Mus musculus: one gene and its partners. The protein of the gene in region 4 interacts with the protein of the main gene of each other region in a pairwise test. Links are inferred from orthologs where the notes say so. Each region holds a gene or a part of one and is shown on either strand. Other genes may lie near its edges.

Region 1 (3,976 bases), on a different chromosome or scaffold from region 4:
TACAGCTAAAGAGGTAGGTGGCAAACAGCTGCCACGTCCCAGGCTGCTGAGCAAGGCCCGAGGTATGCAGGGTGGTATTCTAGAAGGCTATCCTGGGACAAACTGAAAGACAGACAACAGAGAGCAAGCTAGAGATGCTACTAGTGCCAACAAAAGGTAAGTATGTGTAGCTCTGTATACAGAGGCAGTGTGGGCAAGAAAGCCACTGTTGACAGAAGCAACTTCTCTGCTGAAGTTTCAGGGAAGTAGAAGCCAGGTAGCACTAGAGAGCCACGGGAGGACTATCATGAATGTGAACAGGGGCCTGATCCTACAAGACATTCAGCCATGGCTCCTTCTGACATAGCTGGGCCCTCCCTACACCAGGGGGTAGCAGAATCCCTGGGCTTTCTTTTGGGGGGGGTGCCTAAAGCTTAAGGAATGGCTCACTGAGTGAGCTGCTGGGCCTGGCTCTGATAGGTGAAAGGAACCCTCAGTGGACCAGAGCAGATAGCTGGGCTACATATAGCCCTAAGTAGGACCTGACCAGGAAACCCTAAGTCTAAGAAAAATCTTTCCTACAGGTCTGAGTTAGACCAGGGAAGTTAAGGACATCCCCTAATCCCCACCACCGAGCTCCTGGGACACAGTTGGGCTGCCTAGCAGCCACTGGCCACTAGAGGGCAGACTTACCCCATGCCAAATTGAGCAGGCCTGTGAGGGGCCTACGGTTTCCCGAAATCCCTGTCTAGTTCCACTCATAGCTGGAGGAGTCTAGCTGGTGGCCTCAGGCCAGAGTGGCTATTGGACTTCCCTGGATTCAGAGATCCTCCACCCTAATATTCCTTTCCCTGGTGTTACTTCATATAGCGTCATTCCCTTCTCTTGCAGCCAGCAGAATACCAGAGAGCAGAGAAAAGAAACTAAGGCCCAGATAGGAATGAAAACTTGCCTAGGTCCCAGGATATATCCTTGTCAAATTTTAAGGGGAGTCTGTTCCCTAGGCATCTCTTCAGGTGGTCCCCATCTTCAGGACAAGTGTTTTCAATAGCAGAGACACCAGGGAGAGATGTTAGGCCACTGCTCCTGTCCCCGCAGCTCAGGTCTGTCTTCATCTTGCCCCACATCCCCATTGGCTCACATGCATGGACCTGGAATTCTAGGCGCATAACAGCATTTGTGTTCTGGATGGAACCTGCTTTAGGACTGTTCCACTCAGCCTGCCCCTGCACCTAGTCCCCCATTCCTGGCCCCAGACCATGCCCTAGGTAGGTGGCAGGCCACTCAGCCTGCCAGAGAGGTCACAGAGGGGGATGAGGGAGAAAGGCCGGCCCTCTCTTCCACCCAGCTCATCATCCACTGGCTGGGTGAGTGTGGCCAAGCCAGTGGCCTCCTGGGTGCCCATCTCTTTTTCTGGTTTTGGCAGTGCCTGCCAGAGGGAAAAGGCATTCTACCCAGTCTGTACCTACTCGAGTTACTCTTTGAGGGGACCAGGGGTAGTTGACCAAGGTAGGTTCCCCTTCCCTCTAAGGTACCAGGCTCAGGTTCTGGTGCCTCTGACACCTCAGCTCTGCAAGGGCCCAGATGGACTAAGCCAGATGACTCCAGACATAACCCACTCCTTCCGGGTGAGGCCTGTACAGGTGTACTGGCCTGAACCACAAGGGTAAGGAGGAAAAAAGCCCGGGGCCTGTAAGTGGATGTGTAGCTCATCCCTGACAGCTCCCTAGAGGAGACACATCAGTTGGTGACCACCCTCTGGCAACTGGAAGGCTTGGGGAATGAACTGAAGGCACACACTGGATATCAAGCTCAGGGTAGTCTTTAGCCATTTGTCATTTGTCATTGGTGTCAGTGTGAAACATGGAACACAGCACAAGGGATACAGCCTGCTTATGAGCGACACCAGCTCACTTGGTGTGAACAAGCTGACTAATGCCCACTTGTGGCTGGACTGTAACCCTGGACAGTGCTTTGACCTCCTCTAGCATCAGCCTTAGAAACAGCCAGGGTGGGAGCTACAGATGAGCTGCCTGGCTTTGGAGGGACATCCTAGGTCCTCTCCAAGAGCCTCCGCCAGCTGGGGTTTCCAGTGACTAAAGGGGTACGGTCTGCACAGATTAGCCCTACAGAGATTCCCCACGGTCCCTAAGACCAACATTTCTAACATCCGTTGCCTCAGGAAAGGTACGCTTAGCGCCATGGAATTGACAAGAGAGTTCTAGTTCTCCTTGTTCCCAGGGAAAAGGTTCTAGGTTCCAGGCCAGCTGAGCCGGGTAATAGCCTCATTCAGCATAGCTGAGGCTGGCCCCCACAGCATCCCACTGGCTCCTGGTACTGCAACACAGGTCTCCCTGTCCACTGGACCCACGCTTGGGGAGCCTGTTCCAGCTACTGTCCTGTTTACTCTGTTCCCAGAATGGACTCGCTACAGAAGCAGGAACTTCGGAGGCCAAAGATTCATGGGGCAGTCCAGGTGTCCCCCTACCAGCCACCCACACTGGCCTCTCTGCAGCGATTGCTGTGGGTCCGTCGGACTGCCACACTGACCCACATCAATGAGGTCTGGCCCAACCTTTTCTTGGGAGATGCGTAAGTAAGACCCATGTAGGGGTTTAGGGTGGCTGATGGGTGGGAGTACCAGGATAAGCCTCCTCCAGATGGCCCACAGTGCTTCTCACCGCTGCCTGCATTTGCCTTTCTCATGTTTGTTTGGAAACATACAGTTTCATCTTTCAGGCCATGGAATAGAGAATTCCTTGTATCCTAGAAGTGACCTGTTTTAGTGGATAAACCACACTTCAAGAGACAAAGCTCTCTCTCTTCTCTTCTTTTCTTTTGTACCCCTGGTTGGCTCGAATTCCCTATGTAGCTGAGGATACCTTGAGTTTCTGATCCTCCAGCCTTCACCTCCAAAGAGCTGGTTTTACAAGTGTGCATTGCCACCATGCCTGTTTTATGCTGGTGATCACACCCAGGGCTTTGCACGTACTAGGCAGGCGCTCTGCAAATTGAGCTGTGAACCTAGCCTACCTGAAACCATCATCGTCCTCATTGACTCAGTCCCACTGGATGTCCTGGAACTCACTAGGTAGAATAGGCTGGCCTCAAACTCATAAAGATCCTCCTGCTTCTGCCTTCTAAGTGTATGCTACCATGCATCTCTCATTTCTATTGGTGTATATTCATTGTATATTGGGATGGGTTTAGCAGATTTTTCAAGCTTTACTGTGTATTTGATCTTATTCACCTCCCTATTCTCTCCCCCATTTTCTTTCTTTCTTTTTTTTTTAAGATTTATTTGTTTATTATATGTAAGTACACTGTAGCTGTCTTCAGACACCTCAGAAGAGGGCATCAGATCTCATTACAGATGGTTGTGAGCCACCATGTGGTTGCTGGGCTTTGAACTCAGGACCTTTGGAAGAGCAGTCAGTGCTCTTAAATGCTGAGCCATCTCTCCAGCGCCCCCCCCCCCAATTTCTTTTAAATTTGAGACTGGGTCTCACTGCAGCTAACTTGTAATTGTCTAGGAAGACTAGGTTAGCCTTGACCTTACAGAGACCCACCTTCCTCTGCCTGCAGAGCTAGAATTCAAGTCGTGTACTGCTGTGCCCACCCCCACCCCCCCACATGCCCTCCTTTTTTCTCTTTCTCACTCACTAGTTTGGTTCCTTCCACCAGATAATCTTGCTTCAGCTTTAGTGTCATATGTATGTAGTACATATGTGATTTTATGTAGCTATATAGCTATATAAAACCTAGGAGCTACTCAGATTAGCAAATGCATGCTATGTTCTGGGTCTGTGCTATTTCATTTGATATGACCACCATTTGCACCCAATTCAAAAGCAGCATTTATTTTTCTTTCTAGTTTTGCCTTAAATACTTCAGATATGCCTTTTGCCAGCCTTCTAAAGTTAGAGCAAAAAATATTTAAAATTTACCTTGTGGTTAAGGCAATGGCTCAGCAGTTAAGAGCACTGACTGCTCTCGC
Region 2 (4,230 bases), on a different chromosome or scaffold from region 4:
ATTTATAATAGCCAGAAGCTGGAAACAACCCAGATGTCCCTCAACGGAAGAATAGATACAGAAAATAAGGTACATTAACACAATGGAATACTGCCCAGCTATTAAAATGACAACTACGAACTTTGTAGGCAAATGGATGGAACTAGAAAATATAATCCTGAGTGAGGTAACCAGACCCAAAAGAACATACATGGTATGTACTCATTGGTAAGTGGATACTAACTGAAATACTCAGAATACCCATGATACAACCCACAGATCATATTAAGCTTAACAAGAAGGAAGGGCATAGCGTGTATGCATCAAACCCACTTAGAAGGAGGAACAAAATAATCACGGGAGGCAGAGGAAAGGAGGGTTCTGGGTGGGAAAGGGGCGGGGAAGGAAAGGAGGGGCCAGCGGAGGCAGTACCAGGTATTGGAAGAGACAGGAGATAGGAGAGAAGTCCATAGGCCCAGGAGAAGGAATAGAAATAAGTACCAGTGGGGGTGGGGAACTTGGGGAAGTACTAGAAAGTCCTCAACACCAGGAATTCGAGAGACTCCCAGGACCCAATGGGGATGACATTTGCCAAAATAGCCAACAGTAGGAAGATAGAACCTGAAGAGATCATCTCCAGTAGATAGACATGGCCCCCATGGGAGGGATGGGGCCAACCCCTACCCCATCTAAAAAAATTTAACTCATAATTGTCCCTATCTAAAGGAAATGCCAGGACAAAAATGGAGCAGAGGCTGAAGAAAAGGCCATCCAGAGACCTCCCCACTGTGGGATCCATTCCATCCACAGACACCAACACACTCCCCACCCCCCTTACTATTGCTGAAGCCAAGATGTGTTTGCAGACAGGAGCCTGGTATAGCTCTGAGGGGCTTTGCCAGCACCTGACTAAGAGAGATGCAGATACTCACAGCTAACCATTGAACTGAGCCTGGGGATCCTAATGGAAGAGTTAGGGGTAAAGGAGCTGAAGAGGATTGCAACCCCATAGAAAGAATAACAGTATCAATTTAACCAGAGTTCCCAGGAACTAAACTACCAACCAAAGAGTCCATGGCTCCCCCTACATATGTAGCAGAGGATTATTGCCTCATCTGGCATCAATGGGAGGGGAGGTGCTTGGTGCTGTGGAGGCTTGATACCCTAGAGAAAGTGGATGCTAGAGGACTGAGACAGGAGTGGGTGGTGGAAGGGGAAGTACCCTCTTAGAGGCAAAAGGGAGGAGGAAGGGTGGAAGGATTTGTGAAGAGGAGACTGGGAAGGGGAATAACATTTGAAAGATAAACAAAATGATTAATAAAAGGAAGTTATTAATAGCTTTCCTTTGGGACTACCAATCTTCACTAAATTTGGGTACAAATCACACACAGTATTCAGTACAAGACTAACATATATCCTCTTTTCTCTCTGTCTCAAATAGGATTTGGAATCACTTTAACCTTCATTGTCACTGTGGCTAGTTCTTTAGACTTTCCCAAAAGTTATAAATCTGACCTTTTTCCATGCCTTCAAAATAGACAGTGCCAATACAATTGACTCAGAAAAGTTATCCTCTTAAAAAGAAAGAACCATATGGCTAATTTCTAGTCAGCAGTCAACAATAGTAATACAATGCAAGAAGTTTCTTCTGCTTTCTCATCCATCTGTCAAAATTCCTAAGCTGACTTTGGTCCTTATCAAACTGTATGTAGATTTGTCTAAAATTCTTCACAGCTGACAAAGAGTTTCTTCCAAAAACTGTTTGAAATATCAAACAGACAGTCATTATGATTATTCATTATATCTATTTTGAAATCAGCCAATATTCATGATGCTTTATCTGACCAAGACTAACTGCCCACCCATCCCCTTAAAATGTGACTGAAGGAAGGCATTACTCATTCTTCCTATTTATTTTCTACTCTCTATATGCATTTAAACTTATTTAAAATTCTTTTATCATAAAACAAAAAACCCAAAACATAGTCACGGAACATTCCGTTGTTCAACTACAAATTCATCTTTTTCACTGTCACAATTAATCAGGAATAACTGTCAATAACTGTTCAATAATTTACTTCTTCCGTTTTTATAAACTCCATACATTTCAATGTTAATGAGAATTCTGTTTCCAAAACCTGGGGTCGGGGAGCACATATTCTGAGTCTCTTATGCTAAAACAGTGTTTCAATCAGTAAAGGCTGGCCTAAGCCTGGAGTTGAAAGGAAAACGTGGAGGAAACACCAACGTATTCAAATGTGTCCTACTTCCAATAAGCCGGGGCAATGACTCATGCTTCGAATTAACTGGTAAGAAGAGTCCTCGGATGTGACACTGGACACAGAAACTGAGCAATCCAGGCGGCTGAAATATCAAGAGTGCTTAAAAACTAAGGAAACTGGAAGGAAACCAATCAATCTTTTTGCGGAGAGAAATAGCAAATGGAGCCGGTCCGAGCGTTTAGAAGACAACTGCATTGGAAAAAGACCAAAATCAGACAAGGTGAGATACCGAAGTAACGAGAGAAGTGAGTGGACTATCTCCCAGGATTCTCAAGTCCTACAACTTTTAAATAACATTCCGAAACCGTAAGATTTATAAAACGAAAGTATTTCAAGAACTAAATCTCGGAAAGCGATTACCTAGCATGCAGAAGCCCTTAGTACAACCCCAGTTTTAAAAAGGAAGAAAGAAAATTCTCCAAAGCCGGGATACCTGGCGTAACACCTCGGCCCTGGCATTACGGGTCTGTTCTTTTCGCTCTTCGATACTGCTAGCACTTTCAAATCTTACACTAAACGCCTCCATAGTTGTTGCCGTCGAAAAGCAAGGACGCCGTCGGGAAACCTCGGTTTACGACTGTCGTAATTTAGAAACCGAATCTGCATTTCAAAATAGTAGGGAAGGGGCGTTACTATGCCAACAGAGCAGGCGCAGTTCCGAATGTTTCGCCTGTGAAAGGTTCAGCGGAAACTTGTAGCCTGCTGGAGAGTTGATCTTTCAGATGTACTAGGTTCGCTAAGCGCTGAGTTAATATAAACATGCGTTATTATGAGCCCTGCGATATATTAACTCATTTCTCAATAGGACTCTTAAAACACTCCAGTAAGCTAGAAGTTACTTACTTCCCCCTTCTTGCCTGACTTCCTGTGACTGTGCATCAACCTGAAGGGAACCTGATCAGAAAGTCAGAACGTGGGGGGAAAAGGGAAAAACAAAAATTGCTCTTAAGAATCAGTATAGGGGCTGGAGAGATGACTCAGTGGTTAAGAGCACTGACTGCTCTTCCAGATGTCCTGAGTTCAATTCCCAGGAACCACGTGGTGGCTCACAACCCTCTGTAATGGGATTGAACGCCCTCTTCTGGTGTGTCTGAAAACAGTGACAATGTACTCATATAAGTAAAATAAGTAATTAAAAAAAAAAGTTCAGTATTTTTCTTTGATGGGTGTCTTGAAATATATTTAAAACTGGGGTAGAGAGATGGGTCAGTGATTTAGGTGCTAACTGTTCTTGCAAAGGACCTAAGGCCACATCCAGGAACTCACAGGGATCATCAAAACCATCTCTAGCTCCATTTCCAGGAGATCTCCCTCTTCTGGCCTCCACAGGCATTGCAACTACATGATGACATAACACTCATTAAATAAATAAATAAATAAATAAATAAATAATTCTTAATTATTTGGAGGTCAAGACTTGGTGTTGCACAAGCCTGGGTGCAGGAAGAGTCCTCATCACCCAGAAGAAAGATGCCTTGGTTGTGTGGTTATCTCTCATAAAGAAAAAACAGTGACCTCTGTTGTATTTATTGCATCTTGCATAATTAAGTCTCTGTATCAAAAGACTAGCCCCATCTGTGCTTCATTTGATTCGCCCACTAGGATAGAAACAGGAAAGTTGAAATAAGCCATTTCTATCTCCTTTTGCCCATATCAACTCAGCAAATTTAAGATGACAAACTTGAATGGTTACAACCCCTTTATTTGATTCATTATGTTTGTGAGGCAGCACTCCAGTTTGTGCATCTGAAGCAAGGATAACCAGCCAATTCAGAGTTGATAGGAAGGGCTAATATACCTGCCCACGCATTACCAAAGGCACTCAAAAAGACTTGCCATGAAATATTGAAGGCTAAACGCACTGATGATTTTCGAAAACCTTGCTTCTCCGTAGGGAGAGCTTTGAAATTTCTTTTGTTGTTGTTGTTGTTGTTGTTGTTGTTGTTGTTGTTGAGAAGCAATACTCATG
Region 3 (4,300 bases), on a different chromosome or scaffold from region 4:
AAATTTTCTAAATTCTAATTTAACTTTGCTTATGGTTTCCTCACTGTCTTGTCAGAACGGAAACAGACAAACAACTAGCATTGTGAGACTACCGATTTATTCCTTGTCAATGAGTGTCACCTTGCTAGCTCACCTGTCATAGGGAGAACTCTTGTACCACTGTTTACCTACTTCTTACTGCACGTCCAGTGCCAGTCGTACAGAATGCTCTCTTTATCTCAGCACAACTTGTGTACTCAAATCACCACCCATAAACAAATAAACAGAGATGGGTATTCATGAAGACCCAAATCAAATACAAATATCTGCCTAGGTAGTTGAGTTAGTTTGCAAAGTGCTCAGGAGCTAATGTGGTGAAATTTAACGCACCTCACTATAATTTCAAAACTCTGTACGAAGATTTCCAGATTATGGTAAGCCTATCTCTTTTTTTCTTAGTAGCAGAATCAGCATGAAGAACTGTATTAAAAGGCAGCATCATTAGGAATGTTGAGAACCACTGATTTACACAAAATAGAAAATTAACAAGGAGGTAAAACTTGCATATTTAGCTGCTGCCTAAAAACTGGACTTAAGTTCTTTCTTGAAATTAAGGCATTGTAACAACCCAAGTATAGACTTAACTTGTACATTTTGACGTGGTTTACGGTAACTGTCAAGAAAAATATACTCGCTTAAAAATAACCAACTTTAAAAGTAGTTTAATATCCACAATACAGGTATTTCTTAAATCATATATTACCATGAACACCAATTATACGTGATATTACTCAACAGAAAAACATTAGTGAGAAAACTATCCACATTCTAAAAAATATTTCTATTTTATCGGTAGTCATATTTATATTTGTATGATACAATAAATGAGTGAATTGGTTTTTAAAAAATGTTCTTCAATATACCAGAGAGAAGAAGCTTGAATTTATCTGTTAAGATCGCACAGGCCAAGGGGAGCATAGGTGTTCTAGGGAATGCCCGATTTCTTCTCAGCAATAAACTCCGTAAGAAAAACAAAAGCAGACTATAAGCAATAATGACTTAAGCCTCTGCAAGGCTGTAATGCAACAAGTGTGTTTTCCATCATCAAGGTTCTTAATTACACAAAGTGTTTGCCGTCTTACAAACTAAGGATCCAAGAACTTCAATTCAGGTCCCCCAGCTGTCGCCTATTAGCTAACTCGAAAATGATTCCAACCCCACAGCACTTGTCTGGAATTAATGGCAGAAATAAAAAAGATCACTAAAACTTAGTATTTCATGAATACCAGATAGTTCAGAATATTTAGCTGAATTAATATAGAGCAAACACAATAACATCGTTATTGCTCTTTGAACAGATGGAGATGCGGAGGCTCAATGGCTTGGATGAATTTGCTTCCAAGTCACACTGCAAAGTATGAGGTGGACCTGTGAATAAATCAGGTCTAAGTCTCTTTCCACCGCGCCACACTGGAGTGCCTAACAAGCACTTGAGAACTGTGAATAAATCAGGTCTTAAGTCTCTTTCCACTAGCCACACTGGAGTACCTAACAGGCACTTGAGACGCTATAAACCACTAGTACGGAGACAGAAGGAAGGAAAAGTAACTTAGGAAGAAAGAAAGAAAGAAAGAAAGAACGAAAGAACACACAGGCACACTGCCCTTCCCCTAAAACAGAACTTTCCCTTTATTTAAATAATTCTGTAAGTTAACTGCTTTGGCTGACGAGTGTTAAATTTTGTACATGCTTCCTCTAGTTATTTAGGTACAGTACCCTCTTATTTTGGCATTTTACAAGTTTGAATATGAGCAAGCCTTTAAGCTTCAAGTGGACTTATCTACTTTCTGCAGGCCTACGTTATCCTTCAAACCGGAGGGAAGGGCTGCACTTCCAAACAGAAGCGCTGCCGGCTCCTATCGAGCCAGGAGCAAAGCACAGGACCACGTGGTGCCTCTCTCTCTCTCTCTCTCTCTCTCTCTCTCTCTCTCTCTCTCTCTCTCTCTCTCAAGAAAAAAAAATTAAAAAAACAAGGTCCCTACACCGCTCCCTCCTTTTTGACAAGGAAGTGGAAATTAGGGGTTTCCTTTTCAGCGGAGCCCTGACACACACCACCTGTGTGGTCCCCGCCGCAAACATCCTGAAGCCCGGCTCCCGGAAGACTACAAGGATCGGAATAATGGGGAACTTGGGTGCGGACGACGCCGGGGAAGGAGTGACCAGAGAAGCGCGGCGGGCGAGCGAGGAGGAGCGGCGCGACCGGGATCTGTCAAAAAAAAAAAAAAAAAAAAAAAAAAAAAAAAAAAAACCAGCGGCAGGCAGGCTCACGCCGAGCCACTGCACCCGGGCTCCGCCAAGGCCCCAAGTGGGAGCGGCACTGCCGGAGGGAGGAGGACCCGGAGCCCCGCGAGCCCCGGCCGCCGCTTCCGCGCAGCCCCGGGCGCGCACCGCCCACCGCGAGCCCCGGCCCTCTGCGCCGGTCCAACCTTTGCCCCCAAAATCTGCTGCCTGAGCGGCCGCCGCCGGACCTGTCCGCACCTGTCACCAGCCGGCGACACCAGCCCACCGCTCCCGCCCAGCTCTCCGCCAGCCTCGGGCCCCCGCGGGCCCCGCGACCCCGTTCCCTACCAGGTGTCCCCTTTCCGGAGCGAGGTTTTGAGCAGCGTCGCGATGTCAGAACGCTGGGTGTCCAGGTCCGCCGCTCCGCCTTCCGCCATCTTCTTCCACTAGCCGTAGCGGAGGCGGCGGCGACGGCGGCGGCACGCCCCGGAGCATTGTGGGAATGGCGTCCCCGGCCCCGCCCCGCCGGCAGGTCTGTACCAAATGGGGCGCGAGGGCGGGGGTCTGGGGGCGTGGCTCGGCGGGGAGCGCGGCGGGTGCGCGCCTGCGCCCTGCTGCCCCCTCGGGTCCCCGCACGCCCCGCAGCACGGCGTGGTCGCCGCCGCCGCCCCAGACCTCTGAGTTTGCACGGTTCTCACCGGGTGCCGCGCTTTCTCTCCCTGCCTTTGCCCTGCCCTGCTCGGACTCTCCTTGCCATGCTGGCCCTTTTCTTGCCGCAGCCGCCTCCAAACCCATGTTTTTGCGGGTTCACTCCTACTGGAGGGCGGGGCCGGCTGGGACATGGCAGAAAGCGCGCAGTTCCGTGACTTGGGGCTTTTCCTTTCCAGCCGCAGAGCCCAAGCCCACTGAATATTGGCACAAAGAGGGCTCTGAAACCAAAGGTTTGGGCGCAGTGCCCTTCCTAGGTTCTTCCCAGCTCTCCCATGCTTGCTGTCTGTAGGGACTTCTACCTTTCATAAGCTCTTTGTGACGCCTCCTAGCGCGCGTGGACACACACACACACACACACACACACACACACACACACACACACGTTAGCTGCAGTGCAAAACATGTCCCAGTTTCTAGGTGAACAAGCAGTTAAAGATGTATTGAATAAGGCCAGGTACTGAAGGGGGTTAGAAACGTGGGAGAAACCTCATGGGCGTCAAATTAGCATTCCCCTAGATTAAATTTCATGGTTGTATATGCCTAAAGTTAGACTCGATAATACAAGCTGCATTTGAAGGCAACAATTACAAACGGGGAAATTGAGCCTCTTAAAAATCAAATGCCAAGGTCACACGGCAACTGGAAGTGCAAGGTTATCGCACAGATTTCAAATCCCCAGTACTCAGTACCTCCATGAAAGGCTGAATTAAGATACAAACTCCGTAAAAGCTGCAACTAAGTTCTCTTTATAATTTGGCGTGTGAGTGTGCGTGTGTGTGCGTGTGTGTGCGTGTGTGTGTGTGTGTGTGTGTGTGTGTGTGTGTGTGTGCACTGCGGTTTAATGGTCTAGTACCATTCTACACCATTTGAGGCAAACGTTTCAAAATTAACTAAGGCAAAACTGCTGTTTCTAAGAATGAAGACGGCTACCTCAGTAGAACAGTAGGTGACAAGTTAAAGGATGGGCAATGGTCTCTCCATTTTTTAAGCCTCCTAGTTTTGGTGGGAAACTCAGTAAGGAAGGGGGTGCCTGCATTAGTGAGGACTGCTGGCCCATCCAAGAGAAAGCAGTGTTTCCCTGGTTAGGGTTTGTCAGCTTGACAGAAACTAAAGTCACTTGGAAAGAGGGGAACCTTAATTATGGGATTGCCTCCCTTAGAGTAGCCTGTGATGAGTCAGTGGAGCATTTTCTTGTTTAACGATCGGTGTGGTAAACCCACTGTGGGCAGGTGGTCCTGAGTTGTGTAAGAAAACAAGCTGAGCAAGCCATAAAAAGCAGTGTCCGTCCACGTACTCTGCTCTGGGTTCCTGTTGAGCTCTGGCTGTGACC
Region 4 (4,016 bases):
AGCAGTCAGTGCTCTTAACTGCCGGTTCATCTCTCCTTTTTCTTAGTCACTATTTCCATGACACCAGACTATACATCCTGGGCCCTTGGCTCTCCAGGATTTAGTTATTTTTTGTTTGTTTGTTTTGTTTTTGTTTTTCGAGACAAGGTTTCTCTGTGTAGCCCTGGCTGTCCTGGAACTCCCTCTGTAGACCAGGCTGGCCAGGATTTAGTTTTTACATGTGTTCATCCTCTGTGGGAAGCTTGCAGCTCATAGTAAAATGGTATGACCAGCCTAGTCCTAGTGATTGTACCAGCTGTCACTCCAGCTGATGGCCGTCACACATCCAGGGACGCGTGTTTGTCATGGCTCCTTCTAACCTCTGCACTGGGTTTCTCCATTCTGGAGAACTTGGGGTTTCTTCAGCTATCTGTGCTATTGACTTCCACTTCAGTTTTATGAGCAAAAGTTTCATGTTATTAACACTTTTAAGAAGCCACCACTGTGGAGGCCTTGTGACCTCCTTCCTGGAGTGACTGCAAAGCCATGGATGGACTCCCTTGCCGTCCTGGAAACCCAGCAAGCCACAATCCCTAGCAGTGTGGCCCCCCAAGGCCAAAGAGGACTCCTGACTGCTGCTTTTGGAAGTATTTTCAAGGCCACTGTCCCCATAGGAGCAAGCAGAGGGCCAGTAAGCTACAGAAGGGGCCAGCTGGGGCTCTGCATAAGTGTCCCACCCTTCCTTCCCATACAGCACTGGAAGCTTTTGCCTCAACTCATCTTGTAGGCTAGACAGCAGCGCCTGTCTAACAGCTACACTGGCTGGGCAGGGCTAGCAGGTCCCCACGCCCACCTCAGGCTGACTCTTGAAGGGCCACCCTGAAGGAGAGGCTGTGGCACGCAATCCATAGAGGACTATAGCTGCCTACAGCTTGTAGATTTTGACCAAGCTTTGTCCCACTGCACCTACCCTGCACCACTGTCCTTAGACGGCAGATGAGGATATGAGGCAGGGCCATGTTAGAAAAGCAACTTTCAGAAGCCTGGATCCAGGAGGACCTTGGACTGCCCATCCAGTTCAGATGAGCAGGCAGGGAGGGCTCCTCTGCTCCCAGAGTACTTCTACTTCCCTCTGTTCTGTTCCTGGATGGGCCAATCAGAAGGTAGACTGTCCCCTGCGGGAGGACTGGCTGGCTTGTGGCGTCAACCAGAACACATCAATCAGGAAGTGCACAGCCTCCTTCATGGCTCCACCCTTCTCCAGTTAGGGAACCCCTCCACACTCCCAGAGACCCAGGCTCCTGGTATGTCCATAACCCAGACAGCATCTGCTGGCAGGTAGCTCTCACAAGACCCTGAGGTAAGTTCAGTACCCTTCCAGGAAGGTGGGTGGAAGCCTGTGGTGACTGCTGGGGATCCTGGAGCGCGTAAGTACCTACAGGCAGGTGGCATCCTCCATCCTCACGCCTTCATTTGATTAATCCTTGTACACTGCAGCATAGTCCTCCAGTGCTGGACCATGTGGCTGTGGGGCTGCAATGGCAGGCCATAGGCCCAAGGTTTAGAGAAATGTCTGTCCACTGGGTCAACCAGAAAGCAGCAGGAAGCCAAGAGATGCCTCTGAAGAAGAGGCCTGCCATGGCCGTGTCTCTAACTGGAGGTGCAGCTCCGCTGGGGTTAGGGACTGAGCCAGGGGCGCTCTATGGCCACCTTAACTCAGCCCTAAAATCATTGAAGCCATTCACTGAGGCTACACTTGTCCACATGAGTAACCCCCTACATACAACTGGCCTGGTTGATTCCCATCATGTGGCCAAAGGCCAGGGCTCATCTAGCGGCAGAAAAGCAAACTGGAGGGAAGCCACAGCAGATGTCTGTAGACTGTGGATGACATTGCCTGCCCTTCCAGTATACTCCAGCCTAGCAGGAAGGCAGACATGCTCCTGCGGCCAACCCTCCCAGCCCTCCCGGAATAGCACCGTGCCACAGGCTGTTGCATCACCAGCTGGCTACAACGGAAGGCCTGAAGGGCACGGGGCTGTCAGGGAAGGAGGAAGTCAGACATAGGCCTGGCCCCCTGCACAGTGAGAAAGCCTCCAGCCAACCTGACCCTCTTAGTCCCAATCTGGAGACTGGCCAGCAAGGGTCCATGCCACCCAAGAAGGTACTATGTAGGATGGCCACTAGAGGCAAAAGCTCCTACCTCCAGGGCATGCCAGAGCACTTTTGGGTAGGGGCAGAAGCTAGAGCAGGGCTGTTGTACAAAGAGTATTCTCTTAGACCCCAACCGGTCACTTCCCTACATATCCATATGAGAAAGCCTGAGATGACAGGGGCCGGGCAGCTGCTTGGGGGTGCTCAGTTTGACAGGTGGTCTGAGGTGGCTTGTCTATGGACCTCTGCTTCCCCTCAGAAACTGTCCATGAGGCTGAGGAGATAGGGCTGAGCCCTGAAATTTCCCTAGAACGGATCCCTTCTGACCCTGCCCAAAGCCCTGCCCTGACACTCAGGCCTGGGTCCTATCCTAGGCTGACAGGGAACAGAAGGTGGGCACTTCCTCAGCTGCTCTCCCCAATTATAACCGCAGCCTACAGAGGACATGTCAGACTATGAGAATGACGACGAGTGCTGGAGCACCCTGGAGAGCTTCCGGGTGAAGCTCATCTCTGTCATTGACCCCTCCCGGATCACACCCTATCTACGCCAGTGCAAAGTCCTGAACCCCGATGATGAGGAGCAGGTGCTCAGTGACCCCAACCTGGTCATCCGCAAGCGGAAAGTGGGTGAGGACTGCTCCCACACCAGCAGGCTCTAGCCCTGCATGACCCCCATAAGACACCCAGCCAGAGGCCACTCCATGCTCTCTTCACTGCCCTGGCCTTGTCCCCACTCAGCTCCATCCCCGTGTAGGATATATGAGTGAGAGACTCCTCCCCTCTTGTCCTGTCTACCTGCTGTTGCCCAGTGGAGGAAGGGGAGTCCCCACCACTGTTCAGGCCCTGCCTGAGACAGCCACCAGAGGGAAGGCAGCACCCTGTCCCACCTAGACTTGAGACCTGCAGGGCGCCTTATTCAATGGCCCAGAAGGAAGGGGGTTGCTAGAGCTTGGGATGTCTACCCAGAGTAATCATCCTACCCATCTCCAAGAGCCTCCACCCGCCAGCCCTTGGCCTTGACTCTGTCTTCCACCTGAAGGTGTGCTCCTGGACATCCTGCAGCGGACAGGCCACAAGGGCTACGTGGCTTTCCTCGAGAGCCTGGAGCTCTACTACCCTCAGTTATACCGGAAAGTCACTGGCAAGGAGCCAGCACGCGTCTTCTCCATGATCATTGGTGAGAGGCACGGGTGTGGGTTGTTGCTGTGGGTGGACTCGGGTCCTGGCTTCTATGATGGCGTTGGAGTGACTAAGTGTGATAACAAGCCTTACGATGTAGATCAGGGTAGTGGTCCCTGATGATACTCACAGGCTCTAGGGGGCAGGGTCTTCCTGAATTGCTGAGCTCTTACTGGTCTCTAGAAGGGGAGCCCTTCTCTGCCTTTCCTACTCACAGCCTGGAAATTTCACTGAGAAGTAGTGACCCCTCTGAAGTGCCATTTCTGCAGGGCCCAGTTGTCAGCCAAGAGCAGAATCCTACAGTTCCCAGAGGGGACAGAGGTGTCCTCTCCTGATGGAAGAGCCACAACCCCATCAATTCTCATTCATCTCATAAAGAGCACTGTGAGATAAACAGGGCAGGGGCGATGGCACACACCTTTAGCCCTGGTAGTCTGGAGGCAGAGGCCAACAGATCTCTTGAGTGAGAGGCCAGACTGGACTACATAGCAAGACGTTGTCTCAAAAACCAGGGGCTAGGGGGAGAAGAGGGTCAACTGGAGTCTTCACCCAGGGCATGTGAGTGGCCCTGGGTGATGAGTCAGAATCTCAGTTCACCTGTGAGGGACAGCAAGGCCAACTGGGCCTACTGAGCACACTCAGTCTTGAGAGACCCATCCTACCAGTTTTCTCTGTGGGAGGCCAGGAATGCTCCCTCTGTCC

The links. The genes of interacting proteins can lie anywhere in the genome.
Region 1: the proteins of Card9 (region 4) and Dusp13 interact in binary tests that used the Homo sapiens proteins (3 or more experiments, as listed by UniProt). The two-hybrid records come from large-scale screens. The link is inferred for Mus musculus from reciprocal best matches to the Homo sapiens genes CARD9 and DUSP13B.
Region 2: the proteins of Card9 (region 4) and Cwf19l2 interact in binary tests that used the Homo sapiens proteins (3 or more experiments, as listed by UniProt). The two-hybrid records come from large-scale screens. The link is inferred for Mus musculus from reciprocal best matches to the Homo sapiens genes CARD9 and CWF19L2.
Region 3: the proteins of Card9 (region 4) and Usp15 interact in binary tests that used the Homo sapiens proteins (3 or more experiments, as listed by UniProt). The two-hybrid records come from large-scale screens. The link is inferred for Mus musculus from reciprocal best matches to the Homo sapiens genes CARD9 and USP15.

The regions. Positions count from the first base shown.
Region 1 is NC_000080.6:21,738,699-21,742,674, reverse strand, and holds the start of Dusp13 (dual specificity protein phosphatase 13), read left to right. Parts: upstream 1-1,176; 5' UTR 1,177-1,292; coding exon 1,293-1,645; intron 1,646-2,232; exon of another isoform or gene 2,233-2,397; coding exon 2,398-2,571; intron 2,572-3,976. UniProt on the Homo sapiens protein: Dual specificity phosphatase that dephosphorylates MAPK8/JNK and MAPK14/p38, but not MAPK1/ERK2, in vitro. Exhibits intrinsic phosphatase activity towards both phospho-seryl/threonyl and -tyrosyl residues, with similar specific activities in vitro.
Region 2 is NC_000075.6:3,402,655-3,406,884, reverse strand, and holds the start of Cwf19l2 (CWF19-like protein 2), read right to left. Parts: upstream 2,801-4,230; 5' UTR 2,788-2,800; coding exon 2,695-2,787; intron 1-2,694.
Region 3 is NC_000076.6:123,194,220-123,198,519, forward strand, and holds the start of Usp15 (ubiquitin carboxyl-terminal hydrolase 15), read right to left. Parts: upstream 2,801-4,300; 5' UTR 2,697-2,800; coding exon 2,608-2,696; exon of another isoform or gene 1-2,607. UniProt on the Homo sapiens protein: Hydrolase that removes conjugated ubiquitin from target proteins and regulates various pathways such as the TGF-beta receptor signaling, NF-kappa-B and RNF41/NRDP1-PRKN pathways.
Region 4 is NC_000068.7:26,358,110-26,362,125, reverse strand, and holds the start of Card9 (caspase recruitment domain-containing protein 9), read left to right. Parts: upstream 1-1,216; 5' UTR 1,217-1,339; intron 1,340-2,566; 5' UTR 2,567-2,578; coding exon 2,579-2,762; intron 2,763-3,174; coding exon 3,175-3,312; intron 3,313-4,016. UniProt on the Homo sapiens protein: Adapter protein that plays a key role in innate immune response against fungi by forming signaling complexes downstream of C-type lectin receptors.